Caenorhabditis elegans: one gene and its partner. The protein of the gene in region 1 purifies or fractionates together with the protein of each later gene. This does not show direct contact. Each region holds a gene or a part of one and is shown on either strand. Other genes may lie near its edges. The genes, in order: vit-2 and sft-4.

Region 1 (12,072 bases):
CAGTTTGTTGATAGACAGGCTGGCTCAAGTAATCTCTGTCTGCTCGAAACTTTGTCTCATTCTCGATATACGCCTTGTCTTTGCCATACATCGACATGGTTCTTAAATAAAAAATATTACAATTGAAAACTAAGACTATTGTTTCATAATAACCAAAAAGTGTGAATCAATATGATCATGGAGGAGGGAATTAGAAGTTCTGTTTCTTATCATGATAATTCCTAGTGCAGTACTATTATCGCTCATCGATTCCTTAATGGCCGATAATTTGGTAGCCACCTTTCAATAAAAAGGTTGTTTGTCTAGTGATTAGCGTTGTGTGTTTATGTTTCTGGTTGTAAAAATTTCAATCAAATAATTTGAGTGGGCGAATTATTTGTGCATAGTAAAATATATATGACTAAAATCATATTTATTGTTGATATCTTGAAATTGACAACAAAGGAGAGTTTTTTATCGAGAAAAAAGTGTAAAACAGCTGTTCTATCAGCTTTCCAAAATTCCTCCCAAAAGAGGGAAATTTTCAGCTGGGCTAATGTAGTTAATCGATCTTAAAGTCATTTCAATCCTTTTTTCAAAAACTTTCATTTGAAAATATATGTCATAATTTGAAATTATTTTACATTTTACATTTCGTGGCCGTAGATTTCTTTTTTTTTCAATTCAAGTTCAGATTGTTGAAATTTTCTGAACAAACGGGACAACTTTTGAAAAACTCTGATAAAACATTTTCAAATTTTTTATTGCAATTAGAAAAGAAAATTTTGTCATATTTCTATCATTATAAGAAGAATAAATTCAATTTTAATGCCCCAACTGTTGCGATACTGACAAGATGGTAAAGTTTGAGATTTTAGAACTTAGCCAAACTTTTGAACAAACGACTCATTACGAAATTCGGCAATTTTGGGTGGAAAAGGTAAAGTCTCATATTTTGGTCCCTCACCTTTAAATAAAATCTCAAATAAGAAATCCAGAAGTTACAGGTAACTTTGTCTTTTCCAGATGAAAATGAGAGATTCACAAATAATGCAAAATATTAAATTTTTGGATTTTTAAAGTAAATAAATTTGTACAATTCAAAACCAAAGAAATGTTTCATAAACTTTTAAACGAGAGAAATTTGAATAGTTTGACGCTTCATAACTGGCTCTGTGTCCACGTACGTTTCGGATCGAAAAACCTTTTTCAGGGCCTAGATTGATGTACAATTGTTATAAAAGCTTTCAAAATCTAAGATACAATCTGAGAAAAAATCCCTGAAAGAATCCCACTTTTCTCGGCGTATAAGCCTATCTAAGCTTTTTTGAAAAGTGGAAACTTTGGCAAAGTCATTCTATTCCCATTCTCAAAAAAAAACTTTCAGCAATTTTAAAAAACCTTCCTGATAAGTATCTTAACAATTAGAGGCTATTTTGCAGAAGCACTAAAACTTTTTCTTTAAAAAAATGTTTTAAGATTTTCAATTCTAAATTAAAAAAAAACAATACTAAAAACACTTCAAGTAAAAATTTTTATGTATTTAATTATTAAATACAAATTAGAAAAAAAAACTCACCGTGAGAGCAATGGTGTACGCTCAAGAGATTCCATTTCAAATTCCATGATGATTTTTGTATTCCGAAAACTAAAAATTAAAACAAGGAAATTCTAGAGCTCATTTTTGCACCAACCCATTAAGACTCTAAAAAGACAAGGCCAATTCCTGCAATGCATTAAATCAGACACGAAATGGCAATATTACAAAATCACTTTTTCTTTATTGCTATACAAGCAATCCTAGGCAATTCCAATGAAACCAGTCAATTTTATTAATATGTAGAAGAGACCCGAATTAGGTTCCTTGTATTCAATGTAAGTACTCACAATCTGAAAAAAATGTTTTGCAAGTGTTGTGTCCTTTCAATTCTTTCGTCAATATATTAGTGCACAAAAAAGTGCTCCTCGAAGAAGTTTTTTCCACCAAAAAAGAAGATTGGCAGGACAGATTTTTTTCTAATCCTTGCATGCATTATTTTTTATCCCTTCTTTTGTCAAAAGAACTTCAACTCATACACGTTTCTATGACACAAGCATTGTGGACTATCGTGCAGGTACACAGATTCTCATTAATCTCTCATGCCTGACTGTTTCTGTAATCAATTTTTCTAGTTGAAAAGATTTCGACACTACTCGCTTTTTGCCATGACAATTGTGCATTTTTTGCTTAAGGTATGTAATTCAGTAATTCAAGAATATTCATTTTACGTGGTGATTGTCACGATTTTGTTTTATATTGTTTTCAAAAATTCAATAATAATTCCTGTTGCCAATTGTTCATATTTTTTCTGAATAAAATCTCAAAATCCTCTTTGTTTTGTTCCAGTCATCTTTTTTCTGACATCCTTGTCTCTTACCAACAAGACCCCGCCTTCTGGAGCTCCGCCTAAAATAAGCGATCTGCGTTCGAACATCAGATTGCTCTTTTCATTTCGTTCCTTTTTTTGTTGGTTTTGAACCTTTTTCTTTAAATTTTAATATTTCCTTTTCTAAAGGTCTACCAAAATCTACAAAATCTCAGTTCCAGAAAATGTCCGAAGACGATTCCTCTCCGATAAGAATGCCTGTACGAGTCAAAAATATATTCGAGCTTGCGATTCCCATTCAAGAGCTTCCGCCGGATCCAGATGCAGTCGCAATGTCGCCCGATACATTTCGTTTGAAAGAGAAAGAAATGGACGATTTGCTTATGAATGCAAAATGCGAAGATGGAACTTCCATGGCATCCGTGGCAAAATACATACCATCAAAAGCCACACTGAAGCGAATGGAAGAAGAGGCGGCTGCAGCGAAGAAAACATTACTTGCTCGGAAAGCTGCAAAGATAGCGGAGCTGGAAGCAAGAATTGAACAATTACGGCGAGACTCGTTCGATGACACCAGTATTGATGAAACGACCGACCTTGATCAGCTAACGATTTCCCGCCCAACGGCTGTTTTTGCGGAAACTGGAAATATCTCACTAGATGGCACAAGCCAGACGGTCCAAAGAGCATCGATGTCCTCGCCGGGTAGTGTCACAGTGGTTTCATCTCCGACGATTGGTGTTTTGGCGGCAGCCCCTACAGCGATTGGTGCGTTGATGGGAGCATCTCCTGGCGTTGGAGCTTTGGTCGCTGCAGCTCTTAATCCTGTTCAACAAAACCCTTCGGAGAAAGAGGATCCTGATGGTGGTTCTCTTAGTACTGTTGGTTATAATTTCCGGTTCTTTCAAAGCATAGACTAGCTTTTTTCAGGACTTTCACGTTGTACACGACGAACTGAAACACGCTATGGCATTGGACAAATCTATCAAACGGCACTGCTAGCGACGCTATTTGTATAAATATTTCCTTCATTTCAATTTTTTTTCCAATTTTCAGTAATGCAATTTTTTTAAAAAGAATAAAACAATAGTTCAAAGTGAAAATTTTATTTAGAAAATGTCAAAAGACTACAATCAAACAGATGTGAATGATCAATTTACATAAAAGTGCCGGTCTAGCTTAATCAATAAGCGACGCAGGCGGTTGGGACCTTGACAGACTCAACGAAAGAGACTGGGTAGTCGTCAAGTTGGAGTGGCTGTTGGCGAGACTCCTTCAAGAGACGGCTGGCATCTCTGTTGTGACGTTGCAAGCAGGTGAAGCGGATCTTTCTCTGTTGTTGCTGCTCGACCTCGTATCCGCGGCGGCACTCGGCTACTGGCTCAACGGAGAAGCAGATGCGGTGGGAGAACTCCTTGATTTGTGTCTTCTCGACAAGATCTTAAATTAAAAATTATCGATATGAAATTTGAAGAAATTGTATCTTACCGGATTTCTTCTGGCTTCTCTGGTTCTTCTGGCTCTTCTTGGTGTTTTCCTGCTCGTAATCGTAGGTCTCCTCAGATGAATACTCATCAGATTGCTCCTCGTCTCTCTCGTACTTTCTGTAGTTCTTCTTCTCGGAAAGACGCTCCTCCTCGGCTTCGCACTCCTCGTTCTTGAGAAGGTATGAGCGGTGAAACTCTTCGATGTCTTCGGTTTCGGTGTTATCGGAAGTGTAGAACTCGTTGGTGGACTGAAAATTTTTGTTATAACTCAATATAAATTTCTACACTGAACTCACCTCATCATCATTGTTTCCGCAAAGTCCGCAAAGTTGATTCTTGCGGCTGTAGGATGGAAGTTGGGTCTTGATGGTGTATCCGTCAAAGCGAACCTCTCCTTCTGGAAGCTCAATAACAATAGCGGACTCTCCGAGTCTCTCGATTTGGTAAGCAGAATAATCCTCAGATTGGATCTTCTTTCCGTCAACCTTAACGCGGATCTCCTCGTTCTGGAGTTGGGCAACAATTTCTTGTTCTCCACGGATAACCTTGATGATCATCTCTTCAGAATTCTTTTCAGTCTTCTTGGAGAGAACAGCGAAAGTTGGCTCCTCGGAGCAATCCTTGGCGATAAGAGAGTAGCAGGTGGTGAGTGGAGTGTTGTAAAGGACATCATCGAAAGTGCGGATTTGGTTCTTTTGCACCTTGCAGACAGATCCGGAAGCCTCAGTAAGTTGGTGCTTGACGGAACGTTGAGCAATGGATGGAAGGTAGACACGTGGAACTTGAACGTTTTTGAGCTCAATGCGCTCCATTGGGGATTGCATGGTGATGTTGACGTATTGGCGGGACATTGGCTCAACTGTGAGTTGGACGACGACGCGATCATTCTCGTTGTTCTCTGGGCGGCTCGAGACAGTCCAGTAGTTGTAGGTCTTAACAAGATCGAAATAACGGGCAAGAACTTGTTCGGTTTCACGGGTGAGCTTGTACTCAGCAACAGCGTTGATCTGGTTAAGACGGGCGGCCTTGATCAAAAGCTCGTACTCTGGCATTCCATTGAATTGACGGTCCATGTTACGCTCGTATTTCTTCTGTTCTTTGGATTGTTGGAGTTGAGCATTGACGGTGACTTCGCTCTTCTTCTGGGATCCCCAGGTAGAGGTAAGAGAGAGTTGAACCTCACGGTGGGGTTGATCGCGGAGTTGACGGAGGGATGATGGCATCTCTGGGCGGACAACAAGAAGTTGGGAGCGGAGAGTCCATTCCTTGGTTTCCTCAAGGATTGGGGAGCGGCGGATTTCAACTTCCCATTGGCACATGCGGACTTGCTTGTCACAGACGGTGGTGAGCTCGGTGTTCATGGTGTAGTCACGTGGGGCCTCAAGTTTCAAGGAGATGACGGATTTGTATCCTTGCTCCTTCTGGATGTTCTTGACCATCTTGTTGAAGTACTCACGGCGGCTCTCGGTGTTCTCTTGTTCGAGCTCGAACTCCTTTTCGAAGATCTTGTTGTACTTGATTTGGGAGAGTTCGGTCTTCTCGAGTTGTCCAACGGTGAGACGGGCAGTGAATTCGGCTGGACGGTTCTTGTTCTCAACGGAAACCTCGAAGTCTTGCTCGGCAAGAAGCCAGTTTTCAAGAGTGTGTTGGTTGAGGATGTTTCCGCGGGTGGAGACTTCAAGTCCGAGGAAGTTGAAGACTTTCTCAATTTCCTGAGTCTTTTGTTGCCATTGTGGAACAACGACGGTTCTCTCTTCAGCCTCAATGTATTCGAACTTCGAGAATCCTGGGAAACGAAGGAAGACAACTGGGCGAGTGGTGAGGGAGACGATCGATTTTTGGTTCTCTGGAACGACAACCTTGTAGACGATTTCGAAGTTTCTCTTCATTCCAGCGACGGCTTGAATCTTGATTGGGGTGTAGGCGCGGACGGATTGAACGCTCTTGACTCCTTGCTCGAAGAGTGGGGTGAACATTCTCATCTCGTAGACGTGGGTGGCAGCAACAGATGGGCGAGCCTCAACGGTCAAACGAAGTTCCGTTCCCTCGAGTTCAAGAGAGAATTGTCCTTCAGCCGAGATGACGGTTGGGATCTTTCCAGAGATGGTGAGTGGAAGCCCAAGAGTTGTTGGGAATTTGCGGATAGCTTCGTAGAAGTAAGCGGCATGGTGCGTCTCGAACTCGAGCTCTTGGTTGAGAAGACGGCGGATTTCGCTGAACTGAACCTTTCCGTTGCTGGTGAACTTCTCGATAAGATTCTCAACAAGTTGTCTGTCAATTGGAAGGAAGGCGTAGTCCATGTCCTTGTAACGAAGGTAGACCATGGCGAAGGCATCCTTCTCGGTGTAGGTAGCTGGGCGAGCACGGATGTTCATTTTCTGGGCAAGTTCCTTAAGAAGCTTGATTCCAGTTTGAATACGGCGTCCGCGAACAACAGTGGTCGACTCCTTCTCGAGGCTTTCGAGTTTCTCAAGAGCCATCTGAACATATTTGTCCATGTGCTGCTGAGAGAATCCGATTTGGGCAAAGTACTTGTTCCAGTTTCCTCCGAAGACGGCATCAAGAGAAGCGTGAAGATCCTTTGGCAAGAAAGAGTTCTTCTCGAAGATAGCGGCAAAGTCAAATTGAGCTCCAGAGAAGGAGTTTTGAAGGAAGAGTGGAAGTTGAGCGTAGGAGGAAGCGATCATTTGTTCTTGTGGTTGATAACGAGTGAAGGAAAGAACCTTTGAGCAAACGATAGCAACACGTTGGTAACATGGGTTGGTGGACATGGCAAAGTGACGGATCATCTGGTGGGTAAGAGCAGCAACTTGTTGGTTGGTCTCCTTCTCCATTTGGGAGACAACTTGGACGAGGAGGGACTCTTCTGGGCGGGTATGCATCATTCTCCACAAAGCAAGCATGCGGATCTCTGGCTCGTATTGTCTGTTCTTGTAGATTGGGAGGAGTACCTTTTGGATCTTGCGTGGCATGGTGTCCTTAAGAAGTCTGAGGGCATCAATGGCTTCCTTGCGGACTGGGAGTGGTTGGCGCTTATCAACAATGATCTCGTTGAGTTGGTTGACGGAGATGTCGAGTCCAGCGTTTCCGATGGTCTTGAGGGCCAAAATCTTCTCGTAGGTGGTCTCAGCATCCTTGTATTGTTGCATGAATACGCGGAGGAACTTCTCCTTGAGCTCACGCTTGTCCTCACGAACGAGTGGACGGATGTTCTTGTAGTCAACAATTCCGCGGACAACTGATCCAGCGGCGAGCCAAGCAGCTTGACGGACAACCAGGTTGTTCTTGGCAACGCGAGACTCGGCGAACTTGATGAGTGCCTCAGCGATGCTTTGGGATGGGAATGGTGTCTCTTGGATGGTCTTAAGAATTTGACCGAGTGGGAGAATGTCCTCGTTTTCCATGTGAACAAGGATGTGTTGAATTGTGTTCTTGGTTCCAGCAATAGCAAGAGCGTGCTCCATCAATGATTGGATCTAAATATTGCAAGGTATAGGATATAATGAAACTGAAATTTTTTACCTTCTTGTCAGCCTTGACGTAAAGAGTCTCGTGGATCTCCTTAAGTTGGGAGGTGGAGGTGGTGCGGAAAATGCGGACAAGACGAGCAAGGAAGTGGGAGGTCTCTGGCATGTTGTTCTCGACTTCTTGGATTTGCTCAGTGATAGTCTTGATCAAGTGCATCTTCTTGTCGAGTGGGAACTTCTCGAATGGGGCGAACTCAGCCTTGTCTCCATTCTTGAAGAAGTCCTCAACGAGTTGCTCCCAACGGGAAGAGTAGATGATGCTTTCCTTCTCTCCATTGACCTGAAAGAATATTTTTCTGAGAACATACTGTAAAAATTATAGATTATCGTACCTTCTTGATGTGGCTCTTGATGGAGTGGTTCTCCTCAAGAACGAGCTTTGAGCGGGTTTCAGTCTTCATTACTTCTTGTCCGTTGACGTTGACAGTGTAAAGGGAGCGGACCTCGGATTCCTTAAGCTCTTCGTTCTCCAAAACGTAGGTGTAGACAGTTTGTGGGCGGATGAGCTCGGTGTCCTTCTCGCATTCTGGGCACTCGGAAGAGTAACGAAGTCCGTAAGCGATCTCGGAACGTTCGGTGCACTTATCGAAGTTGATGGACTTGGTGATGATGGTCTTCTTCTGCTCACGGATGACAGTGTAGGCGACTTGGCAGTCTCCTTCAAGGGTCTTCTCGTTGGTGAAGAAAGAAGTGTTTTCCTCAGATTGTTCCTCCTTGTCATAAGAAGATTCGATCTTCTCAATCTCGTTTCTTGGAGCAATTGGGTTGAAAGAGATCATGTTGACAACAGCTCTCTTCATGTTCTTTGACCATTCAGCGTCTTCCTTGTCAAATTGGAGCTCGGAGATAAGTCCATTTCTGAGTTGAGCACGGAGTGGGAGTTCGAGCATTTGCTTGTACTCCTCGGAGAGCTCGCGCTGCTCCATGGAGTTCAAGGAAGGCATCTGCTCGGACTCTGGGAGGTGGGAAGCGGCCATGCGGATGTTGACAAGTTGAAGGTGGATGTAGCGGTCATCGACGGCTTGAATGCGGGCACGTGCAGAAATACGGGATTGGGAAAGCTCAGAGGAAGCGGATGGGAGTCCGGAAAGGACGAGGCCATCGAACTTGTAGTGATAGTCAGTTTTTGGCTCGAAGGTGCGCTCGAAAGCTGGAGAGGAGGCGAGGGCCAAGGCCACGAGAGAGGCGATGATGATCGACCTCATGGCTGAACCGTGATTGGACTGTTTTCAGTGCACCTTTATATACGGCTAAAGATTGACATATGTTCGATTGACTTCATATGGAAGTTATAGCGTTTTAGCGCATTGATAAGCTCATTGATGGACACATTCAAGCATTCGCTCCGCTTTGTGACCCTTATCAGAAACAAATTGCAACATTCGGTGAGAGCCCTGTCTATTAATTTTGAATGAGGGGTTCTAAACATATAACTAAATTGTTTCAAGTAATACAGTTTGATCACACTGCACTTTGATACTCATGACTTTTTAACGATGAGGTGATTCTGGACATGATGAAACTCAGCTAGCACATGGTATTTAAAACAAAGTCATTACTTTTTTACTTGCTAGTTGCATTGTGACCGACAGGATAGAAAAATCTGCAAAAAAAACTTGGTAAAATTGTATTGTAGGCACCTAAAACGCAACCAGTTTTCCTCAATTGGGCACACAGGATCACAAAAACTAAAACTGAATCCAAAAAAATATGATAGAACTAACAAATGTTAAAACTTAAAACAACTAAACATTAAAAACCCAATTATTCACAAACTTCACCAGATGTTTTGACATTATTCTAACTTAACATTAATTGTACGTCTAGCAAAAATCTGATTAGTTGGAAATCCGCGGCATCCCTAAAACTTTTTCATTTTCCAGTGTTCTGCGTATTATTCGGTTGTCAGTAATTCCCAAATCTGGACTATAAGGTCTCACAAACGTCCGGTACTGTGATTGTGTGTTAATTGTTTCTAAATTAACTTGAATTCACCATTATTTATTTGTAACTTATAAGAAATCTGTTTTGTTTGTATTTTTTTTTTACTTCCCGTTCAGAAAGTCGACTATTTTTGATCAAGTACTTTATGCCACGAAAACCAATATCACGCTAGTTGTTGAAATCGACAACGCCGCTGGGGTGGTCGCTGCGCACTTGGCGAATCCGCAACACAGGAGAAAAGATTGGATAGTCAAATGACCCAGAAATGTCCGTGGAGGAATATAGCAGTCTCGGCGGTGTACGACGCGACGGAATTCGGATGTAGGACAGAGACTCCTAGTAAGAAGGAGGAGGAGGGGGGTCCTTTCCCGAAAAACACTCCCTATTCTTTCTTCCTTCCCTTTCGGTTATCACTCCACACTTGTTGATGTCACAACCGATCCGGACATTCAACCCGCACCGATTGCCTGTGTCTCCATTTCCAAGGAGAAGTGTATCTCCGATATATACAACTTTCATATTTATTTCAAATGTTTGAACTATACAGTTTATGATATTTTTGGTTCAAATGGTTTAATTCCAAAAACGGAACCATTAGTTAATACGTTTTTGTTGTTCCTGTTTGAATTTTTTGAGCCTTTTCCTATCAATTACTTTTTGAAATCTAACAGAAATTTTGAAACCAAATAACTTTTTCATAGTCCTCTCAGATTTGCTTCGACGTCTCAGCTTTTCACAATACTCATAGAATAAGTAATATAATTTATCAAAAGAAACAGTTGTGATAATAATTAATGTGTTTCAACGGTATTTGTAAAATATCTGTAGTTTATGTTTGTAAAACAATTTTGTATATATGTTTCGGCTCACTTAAGCTTTCTAGGCCAATTTCAGGCGTTTTAGACTCATTTGTAGGCTTATCGGGCTGTTAGGTAGGATAGTCCCTATAAAATAAGTTGAATAATGTTTTGGAATAAAAAACGAAAGTTTGGAAAAAAACATTTTGAGGTGTATATGTTTTGCGTCGTCTTTAAGTTTCATTGTTTTTTGTTACAAAAATTTTAATTCATAAACTTTCTAAGCAATCCTTATCTTCGATCGTTGGGATTAGAAAGGAAACACTCCTAGACGATTACTTTCGCCGATTCACCCACTTCTCATTTTCCTTCATATCCCCCACTCCGTCAGTTTCGTAATCCCTTACAAATTTCCATCGTCACTATGACCCCAATAACGCGTTGCCTTCTGATCTGATCTTTCCCCCATTTTTTTTTCATCGTCAATCCGAAACATGTAAGAAATAGATAGGATTCGTTGACACCGGTATTCAGGAATTTCTATTGGATGTGAAGCGGTGAATAGAATTGTGGAAGCAAAACCAATTGTGCATATCGTCCCCTGATCCGATCTCGGTGTGGGAGACGAACATCTTGCCCGAATCTCGAGACTTTGTGAATTTTATTTCATTATTACGAGTTTTCTTTTTTCTTCTTCCCTGCGGATAAATGTCAGCAAGCTGACTATATGCAATCATTCATTAACACATTCGGACTCATACATTCTTCCGAACACTCACACTCCTAATAGATCATTTGTCCTTTTCACGGGCCGCGGCATTCTTGTTATTTACCCAAAAGTCGGATCGGATGTCTAATTGAGTTAATCGGTTGCAAAGCGATAGCCGTTCCGAGTGACCTTCACTTATACAACGGGGGTGACAGGAATGACTCCATTCCGAAAGTCGCCAAGTCTCCAAGTCTCCTAGCAACTTCTCACCCGCCTCATTTGGCTCGTCGACTATCTCCATTGCAATCTTTTTTTCCTAAAGGAACTATAACAGGATGAGTTCGATGGCGTGTTAATGATACTTTCTCCGCGAAATAGTCAGTTTATGTGTCTACCGTCAGGTCCAGTATGTTCCGTTTGGTACCTGTCCACTTTTCTCACTTTCCTGTCCTTTTTCATGAATCATACAAAAAGAACAAGATTGTTTCGGAGAACACGTTTTTCGGTAAAGAGTGATTGGCAATCAGTTGTGTTTTCGATATCTCTTATAAATAAATCTCGCATTAAAATTTTTCTGAAAATCTTTCCTATACATATCCTACACTCATAGCCTTACTAACATGTTCGAAATTTGTTCAATCTTTAAAATTCTGTACAATTTAACATTGTTTGAATATTACCTAAGATGCACCTGAATTTGGAAGTAAATCATATAATTGTACCACACCTCACTACTACATTTTAAAACGCTATATCTGTGTTCATTTTTTTAAATATCAAAAAATAATAAACTAATCAATATAATTAGAAATGATACATATTTTGCCAATTATCTATTGTTGTATACGAAAAAACGACAACTGAAACATAAGCTGTCAAAATAAAGCAAATGAAACAATACTGATAGAGGAAATACATATGGTTTAGATCATAATTTCAGCATAAAATTGGAAGCTAATGAAACATCTCCATTTGAAAAAGCAGTCTATCACACCAGACAAAAAAAAATTGCCTAATTATTTCTTTAAAGTTGTTGCTTGTACATCAAGTGTGCAATAATGTTGCCAAAAGTGTTCCAAAACGTCGTCGCAGAAAACCTCTCTAGTATAAAATACGCCACGTCGAGTGGCCAAGTGCAAGTCCAGCTTTTGCTAAAGTTATTAGAGAAAGAGAAATCCAGTGACTGTCCACGCCCGCCCTTTCTTTTTCTCTCCCACACCCTATGGAAAAGGAGAAGCGCTGCCCGGTTTTCGTTCGGTTTGT
Region 2 (8,772 bases), 680 kb from region 1:
GTTCTATGAATTATTCTATCGGAGCTGCCTTTCTTTTTCCCTGACGCATTGACTAATTACTTGTTCAGCTCACGTAGTCTCTCCAAAAATCCTCATGTAACACAAATAGGTCTCCGTGGGCAACATTTAGCCCCTCTCGCTGCCATCTGCTGTCGACGTCTCGAATCTCGACGTGTCTCTCCGTCCCGTTGTCCATCCATATGTCCTCCTTTTCAATGTGTCTCCCTTTTCCTAAAAAAAAACATCGACCCAGTGTGCTGCTGGCGCATTTCTCGATCTGCGCTTGGTGTTTTATTTCTGTTTTTTTATTTTGTCAGAAAAAAATGCCGCGGGTTTTGAATTTTAATGCACAGTTTACCGCGTTTTGTATCACTTTTTTGTTGAACCAATTTTAATCATGAAATTTATTAACCAAAAAGATAAAATTTGCTTTTATTGCGGCACAGCACGCAACATAGCGTAGCTGATAACAAATTTTTAACAATTAACTTTCATTTTTATTGTAATCAACAATGAATTTCATTTCAGCAAAGCTCGTCTTCGTGCCATGGTTATGGAATAAAATGGCTTTCATCAAGCGGAAAACAGTCAAGTTTTCAGTGGATTTACAAGTGAGTTAAGATTTGTTTTTTTTAAATATAATGTAAACTTTATATAATTTATATAAATTAATTTATAAAATTTTCAGGTATGTCAACTATCAGATGTTCCACTAGTGAATGCCACTGTTTTTGGAAAAATGCGGTTACTAGATGGAGGATCGTTTGAAGAAGCTACGGAACGAGTTGAAGTAGGTTTTTTATTTAAAAATTCACTCATTCATTAAATCAGGAGTATCCGATAAAGATTTGTATTTTATTATATTTCAAATGGTAGAAAAATCGGGATTTGTAACGAGACTACTCAAACGTTACTCGAAAATTTCATTATCGCAATTCAAAATTTCCAACACTATCTAATTTTAGCTAAAATCTCTATTTTTGTCAACATCTGAGTCCCAGCGGTAAAGAATACTATTACGAAATAAAACATATCTTCGGTCGCTGTGACACGAAAAAAATGGTCAAAATTAGAGTTTTAGCTAAAATTCGATTTTAAACATCCACAAAAAATCGAGAAAGGTTCTGTGAAGTTTTGTTGTGTTATTTACGTCCTATTTGAGTGTAATAAGATCAAAATGATTTATCGGTTACTTCTTTTTTTTTAAATAGCCATAGTGAAAATTTATTTAATTCAGGTGAAAAACCATAGCGCCTCATTCAACACACGATTTGTATTCTGCTGTCGGATTCCATGTGATCAAACTTCGGGAACACTGGAAAAGTGTCTGTGCCGAGTTTCTATAAGAAAAGTAAGGAGAATTTGGAAATAAATTGGGGTTACTAAAATATACTCACAATATGAAATAATGTTTATTTAAAAATACAAATTTTCATTTAAAAAAACAACATTCTAAACTTATTCCCCATTTATCTTCAACTTTTATCCCATTTTCAGGAACAAAAAGGAGGAAAATCGTATTACAAGCTCGGTTTTGTCGATATCAACCTCTCCGAATATGCAGCTTCCGGTGTTGAAGGAATCTCGAGGACCTATCTTTTAAACGGCTACACTAGCAATCAAAGATTGGATAACTCCAAAGTGTGCATCAAAGTTGCAATGACACATCAAAGTGCAGACCCATTCTTCAGAGTGTATGTTCACATATAATTTTCCGTTTAATGAACATGATTACTTTAGGCCTCGCCTGTCAACGTTCGGTCCACGACAAGATGGAGCTATTGATCAAGATGGTTTTCGAGCAGACGATGAAACTGATTCCGAAGAAGGAACATCGTCTCATCCGAAGCTTTCCAATGTAGATGTTCTAGGTAATTATTTCGAGATTCGTGAATCGATGTACTCTAAGGTTATTTCTATTTTTGCTTAATGCAGGAGCTGTAGATGTGAGGAGTTCACGTAAAACTGAAAACACTCTCTATTTCACTTAAAAATACATGAGTATTCCGTTAGCAGTTGCAAAAAGCTTTTCATATCATTGCAGTCTGTTAAAATTATATATGTCTGAAAATACTATTAAATTAAAGAAAACAAATAAATTGGCAACTGACGCTTAAAACGTTAACAATTGACTCCCGCGGAAGTTTGAAATTATCTCCTCAAACTTAATACATTTTTACTTGTTTTTATGTTATAAATATTAAATTATGAGACCCATAATGTCAGTTTCAATAATTTCCCCGACGCATTCTGAGCCTAAAATTCAACAACAGTGAGATTATAATTTATTTACGTGTTGAATGATAAAACAATACAACTGTTTTGTTCAAATTCCTTTTTTTGTGAAAATTTGACCAAAATTATTCAGAAAGTTCATCCGCCGCTAGCAACTCGCAAGTCGACGAACCAGTTGTCGAACGACGAGTAATACATCCACCACAACATCCAACCTGCCAACTACGACGATTTAGTCAAGATCGATCTGCTCAAAAAATTCAACACTCCAGGTAAGGTGAAACTTTTTTGAAACATTAAAAAAAAAGAGTCATGGCGAGTTTGACCTTTTTGATTCATGTTAAGAAGATTAGTGAAATGACCCAAATTCCTCTACTCTACTGTTTCATGTTTGAATTGAGTCCCATAAAAATAATTGAAAATTGGTCAAATATTGATTCTGAGCATTTCTTTTCCTAATTTTTCAATCATTTTCAGATTCGATGCAGACAACGTGATTGACAAAATCATTGCCGAATGTCGAATATCGGAAGATGAAGTGGAGAGTAACAGCGGAGGCTTGGTGCTCGAGAAATTCTTGGATAAACATGGAAAGCCACTTGTCAATCCACGTCAACCCGTGAAACGGACGTCTTATGTGGCTGAACATTTCAATGATGCGTGAAAAAATTTTCCCGTTTTGTTCTAAATTCGAAAATTTTCTTATTTCTACTACTTATTTACTTTGAAACTATGTGCATCATTTTGATGACTGCCTTTTTCATCTTACAAGCACTTTCTGGTTTTTGATATACGGTTTCTTCGTCTCATGTTAATTCTATTTTGATTGTATTACCAATGGGTCTTCTTTTTCAAGCAGCTAAATTATTTTCACTGTTCGGGTGATTAGAAAACTTTAACAAATAAAATGATTGTCTGACAGAAAAATGTTTATTCTTTACGGGAACAAAACTACCAGAAGAAAATTGGGATAGGCCGATTAGAAAGTAAAGGAAAGTGGTGGAAAAATGACTGTTTTAGTTGTGATTCGTGTGAGAAAAATAGAAGTTTGTAGGGAGAGTTTCATTGGAAAACAACCCATATAGTCCATGAAGTTTTAGGGAAAGGAAGAAAATGACAAAAAAAAATAAAAGGAAATAGATATGAAGTTGTAACATTACGACAAGAAGCATTGGATGGGAAACCGAGGGAAAACGTTCTACTCTAAATATATTGATTAAAGGAAATATCGAAAAAATCGAAACAGATTCATAAATTATATAAACAATCCAGGTAAATTTATCGGGGTGAGTGAGTGTAATGCAATGATTTGACATAGAAATGCGTATAAGTACTGGTGTTAATGGGGTATCTACCATCTTTTCTTGTAGTCATCGACTGACACTCCTCCTGGTCCGTAGGCAATGACAAGGAGAAGTCCTCCAATGACGGACATGGTTTGGAAGAAATCGTACTTCATGAAGTCTCTGTAGAAGCGGTCGGAAGGAATGGTCCACCTGAAAAATCAATGTTTCAATTATGGTTAATCAAGCGTCAAATTGTTATAATTGGTTTTTTTGTTTTGATTAAAGTGGTTATTCAAGTAATTTTGCGAAATGTATTTTAATACATTTTTGACGTCACAGCTGTATTAAAATACAAGTTTTGTGTATTTCAATACAGTTGTGACGTCATTTTTCTATACTTTTTAATTTTCCGACACTACTTGAATAACATCATTAAGAGTGATCTGTTCTTCACTGCGGATCTGGGTGTCAATTGCACTGGCTAGTTATACACCCAGTGAGCTTTAGTTCGAGTCACACTTGAGCCCGGGACTGTGGCTGATAATCCAGAATCTAGAGGGAGCACTTGAACCAGTGACCTCATGATTGCTAGCGGCCACCAGTACCGACTGAGCTATCCCGATCATGTTGTGATAATTTCAGATTGTATAGTTTCGTTTCCACATCAAATACTTACCAAGCATTAAGCCAAAGGTTAAGTCCGAAGAGCCAGATGACAAGAACAATCGCGGAAAGCTTTGTCTTGTAACCAATTGAGACGAGAGTGATGAGAGCAAATCCAACAACAATCTCCAAAACTTGCATGAAGGACATCTCAAAATGCATCAAAGACATGAACATGAAGATAAGAAGAACACGTCCGGCAAGAAGCATGTACGATTTTGGCTTGTTCGAGTCTCCCATTGTTGGAACTCCGGCGAACAGGGAAGCCTTCTCTTCCTGTGTCTCGGCAAGAAGGAGCAAAAGTCCTCCACCAACGGCAATGTTTCTGAAATTTTACGTTTATTGCGAGTTCAAAGGAAACAAATGATTACCTGGCCAAGAACTTCAAGTCCCAGAGAATATGGTAAGCGATGGTTTGGAGAATGACAATGCTGGCAAGAATTCCACATGCGACCAACACCTTCTTGCGGAGCATGATCATTAAAACCGGGATGAACTGTCCGAAGAAGTTGTAGATGACGAACAAAGTTGCGATGAACCAACCGCAAGACCAAGACTCTTGCATGAACTGTTTTTGATCATCCCATTGGAAGTACATACGGATTCCATCTTCAAGGAATGTGGAGACGAGGCAGAGGCGAGCAATGTGGGGTAGGTAGGTCCTTGTTTTGCGGAAGAACTGAAATTCGCAAGTTTAAAGTTCATAGTTCATATAATAGTTTAGAGGTATTACGTACATCTTCAGCGGCGTCTTCTGCTTTCGCCAGCATTTCGTTCTGACCACCTGGAGCCCGGAACTGGTTCATTTTCCAAGAGCTGAAAAAATAGGTTTGGAAAAGTGTAGTGTAAATTAAGAAAAAAATCGGAAAGATGATAAGAAGTTGATAAAAAACGAGACGGGCGGTGACGACGAACAAAAATGCTGGAAGAGAATGAGTGGAAGAGAAGAATCGAAGGATTAGATGGTGGATTGAATGAATGACTACAAAATGGAACACGTGGCATGTGCACTTTACGAAAGATGTGTATTGCTGTCTGCGTCTCTCTTACGATTGACGCCAGTATTAGAGGTCAACGGATCAATAGTATCTTTTCCGAAACACTACACACAACTGTTTCGATTTAATATATCTTTTGTGTTCATTGAGAATAATAGAGGGACAGATCGGATTGAATGAAAATGTAATCAGACAAGATGAGATAACATGAGAAGAGATAACCTCTCATCAAAAAGGTTGTAAATACTATGGCAGTGGCGCATTAATTTAATGAACGAAGAGCTAACTAGTCTAGATGCTATCAAATATCGAGAGTAGTAGAGAAGACATTTATTGCCTTTGTTGGCGCAAGCAGCCTACGTAAATTTCCCATTTTCTGGGTTTTCTGAATTTCCAATGAGCCACCGCGGATGACGTATTTAACAACAAGTACACACACAAAAAATCGGATGACATATGAAAAATGGAAATTAAAATGAGAACAATCGTCGCCAAACATAACATCTCTCCAGGTAGGAGGAAAACCGTCAAAGCTGCACAATGTCAACACACAAGGCGGTCACGACTTTTTGTTTATCAAACTGGCCAACAGATGGCCGCGCCGATGAATGGTGGATATTTGGAACGGAATTGAAAATTTTTAAATCTTTAATGATACACGTTTTAAAGCTGGGTTTTAAGTGTATTTTGAGCAAACGTTGGGTTATCTATTTTGTTTTTAAAGTTTGACAAAAAGACGTCAGCTTTCGCTGAATACACTGGCAATGAATACACCGCGTCACGTCATCGTATACACAGAATTGATACTGAACTTGCGGAAATAGTACAGCGAAGTCATTGGGTAAATGAGTAATGTACAATAGAGAATGGAAATTATTCTTTATCACTTCCGCTACAGTTGTGTAAAAACTAAGCTAGGGAAAAAACCTTAAACTGGTTGAAAAAAGCGGTTCAAAAGTAAGAGTTTGGATGTCAACGGGCATAAGTGACGGGCGTTTATGTGAACGACTCTTTCCTAAACAGGTTTTCTCCGGACAAATGAAAACGAAAACATAAGCGACGAGAAAAGAAGGGGAACTGAACCGAAAGGGGCAAATGGAGGAAGAGGAGGCACACGAAATGTAGAGAGACCGCGTCGCAGCCGCACGCGAGCTGATGTGGTGGTTGTGGTTTGAAAATAGAAATGACACTCTCGAAAAGGAAGGAGAAAGAGAGTATATCACCGCTCCCGAGTATCACCACCTGCCAAGTAGGTGCCATTGAATTCAACCATTTTTATGAATGAATTATGATTTAAAATACATTAGAAGTTGAAGATAATCGAAAGACTACAGAAAAAACGCAAAAAAAGATAAAAGTAATGTTACATAAAGTTTTCGGTAAAACTGGTTGAGCGAAAAATCACAAAAGATGTTTGTTTTTACGAGAGCTGCAACTGGTTCCACGTTGTTACATGTTGTGAGGTAGCAAATGCGTCAGCAGCCACCACTTGGCGCGTTTCGTGTGCGTTCCCCCACACCAAAAAAGGGCGCATTGTATGCAACATTTGCGTTTTTTCATTGATTTTCCTAATTTATTACAACGTGAATTTATTTTTAAACAGAAATCAGTACACTAACATTCACAGTCTTGCAATAAATGCTGCACTGACAAACAATAAGTTTTGCACTGAAAAAAATCGTTTTTTGTCATTGCAAAAAATTTTCAGTTTGCTGTAAAAATTAAATGAAACCTTTAACCCGTTTTCTTATAAAAGAAAGTTTTAATTGTCTTGTTCAACAAAACATTGAAAATTTTCGCAACGATTAAAAAAGCAATAGATGTGATATGAACTTTTCTATTTAAAATTGAAGAACATTGTGTTAGTTTCTACTTTTTTTTTAACATCAATTATTTTTGATCAATGATCATTTAAATTATTGGCTTTCTTCAAACTCGCTCCAAGCAAATTAGCTCAATTTTGCCAACAACACATCCTCCGTTGCCAACCGACACCCCACTTTCGCTGCTGCTGCCCAAATACTCCGCTTCTCTCAGGATTTTTCGACCACGAGAGTACATTTCAGTAGATGCGAGATGGAATCTATCCTATTCCTGACAAATAATGTGAATTTCTTGCCGTTAGTCTTGCGCTAATGGAAATGTGTACTTTATATTCTATGCAGATGAAGCTTTAAAGATAGGAAGGCTTAAGCGTATTTCTTATTGATTGAAACGTGTAAAAACATCATTTGCAAATTTAGAATAATTTTTGAGAAGCAAGATATGTAAATTGAGAAAAGAATGTTCTTCATAAGTCCAATTCTTAATTTTGAAAAAAATTATGTTATAGATACCACCTGAGACCTTTGAATTAAATTGTAAATTGTACATTTTTATCCCTGGTCTTATACTTTTTCATATATTTTTTTCCTTTTTCATATTGATGCACCGCTCATAAAACTATCACATTTTATTATTTTTAATGCACTCATTCTACTATAAATCTGCAATTTCCAAGATGGCATTTGCCCGCGCTCTTGGTGTGATTCAATCTGTCGGTCGAGGCGCAGGAATCAGTGAGCAGAGTGAGCTCTACGATCGTGGTCAGACATTCAGCATTAACGGAAACAATTATCGAGTGGAAAAGGTAATAGCCAAAGGTTAGTGGCCATAAATGACAATTTTCGAAGAGAGCTTATGTTTTGCAGGCGGTTTTGGAACGGTGTTTCTTGCGACCAACACCAAGGGAAAACAAGTCGCCGTGAAGATCATGCTGAGCCACGATGCAGCCGCGACGAAGGATATTGATAATGAAATTGATATGATGAAGAAGCTCCAACACGAAAATATTATTCAACTGTTTGATGCGTCAGCTGAAAGCAGAAGTTCAAATCGGTCCGTGAAAGAGTACAAAATATCAATGGAATATTGCAAATGTGGGTTGAATTTTTTTTGTTGCAAACTCACTCTCAAAAAGTATATTGTTAAAGTGGAGTACCGAAAGAAATCGGCGATTTTGTCTGAAAAAAGACGCAAAATGGCCCAAACCTACCGAATTTTGTGTAATTTGTTATTACTAATTTATTACTTGTTGATTCGTTGATTGAGATGTTTTTCAGTCAGTTTTTTTTCAATTTTCAGAATGTCTCATTACAAAACTGGATAGTTTTGGGCCATTTTGGGTCTAAAAAAGCAAAGTCTCCGATTATGGTACTCCACCTTTAATGTACATACAATTTAATGTATATAACTAAATTTTATTTCAGTTTCAATTGCGGATGTGCTTCTCAAGTACAAAGAAGTCTCAATTGACTTTGTCGTTCGCATAATCTACTTTACAACAAGAGCCCTAGTATATTTGCATTCCGTCGGCGCCATCCACCGAGATATCAAAGCAGAAAATTTGCTTATAAACGGAAATGGTTGGTCTTTCGTTGCTGATTTTAGCTAAAACTATTTTTCAGGAAAACTAAAACTATGCGATTTTGGAAGTGCTACAACAAAGTCCATCGAGATGGCACCACTATCAAATTCCGAAAGATTAGCGGTTCAGGAAGAGGTCATTCCGAAATAAATTTTAAATGAAATTGAAATCTAATTTTCAGATG

The links.
Region 2: the proteins of vit-2 (region 1) and sft-4 purify together in Caenorhabditis elegans (affinity purification with western blotting; one study listed by BioGRID). This does not show direct contact.

Annotation. Positions count from the first base shown.
Region 1 is NC_003284.9:5,097,535-5,109,606, reverse strand, and holds vit-2 (Vitellogenin-2), read right to left. Parts: upstream 8,576-12,072; 5' UTR 8,565-8,575; coding exon 7,692-8,564; intron 7,640-7,691; coding exon 7,355-7,639; intron 7,309-7,354; coding exon 4,129-7,308; intron 4,081-4,128; coding exon 3,834-4,080; intron 3,786-3,833; coding exon 3,529-3,785; 3' UTR 3,438-3,528; downstream 1-3,437. Other genes in the region: C42D8.1 (MARVEL domain-containing protein), read right to left, coding at 1-97; C42D8.9 (CUPID domain-containing protein), read left to right, coding at 2,570-3,226, 3,276-3,347. UniProt on the Caenorhabditis elegans protein: Precursor of the egg-yolk proteins that are sources of nutrients during embryonic development. Together with other vitellogenins, may play a role in modulating life-span, acting via induction of autophagy and lysosomal lipolysis.
Region 2 is NC_003284.9:5,775,723-5,784,494, forward strand, and holds sft-4 (Surfeit locus protein 4 homolog), read right to left. Parts: upstream 5,001-8,772; 5' UTR 4,991-5,000; coding exon 4,922-4,990; intron 4,864-4,921; coding exon 4,556-4,863; intron 4,510-4,555; coding exon 4,198-4,509; intron 3,732-4,197; coding exon 3,587-3,731; 3' UTR 3,153-3,586; downstream 1-3,152. Other genes in the region: sym-3 (C2 NT-type domain-containing protein), read left to right, coding at 564-611, 689-790, 1,238-1,351, 1,498-1,694, 1,741-1,871, 2,369-2,507, 2,713-2,899; gakh-1 (Protein kinase domain-containing protein), read left to right, coding at 7,683-7,824, 7,873-8,100, 8,431-8,586, 8,629-8,723, 8,770-8,772. UniProt on the Caenorhabditis elegans protein: Endoplasmic reticulum cargo receptor that mediates the export of the yolk proteins from intestinal cells by recruiting cargos into COPII vesicles to facilitate their secretion.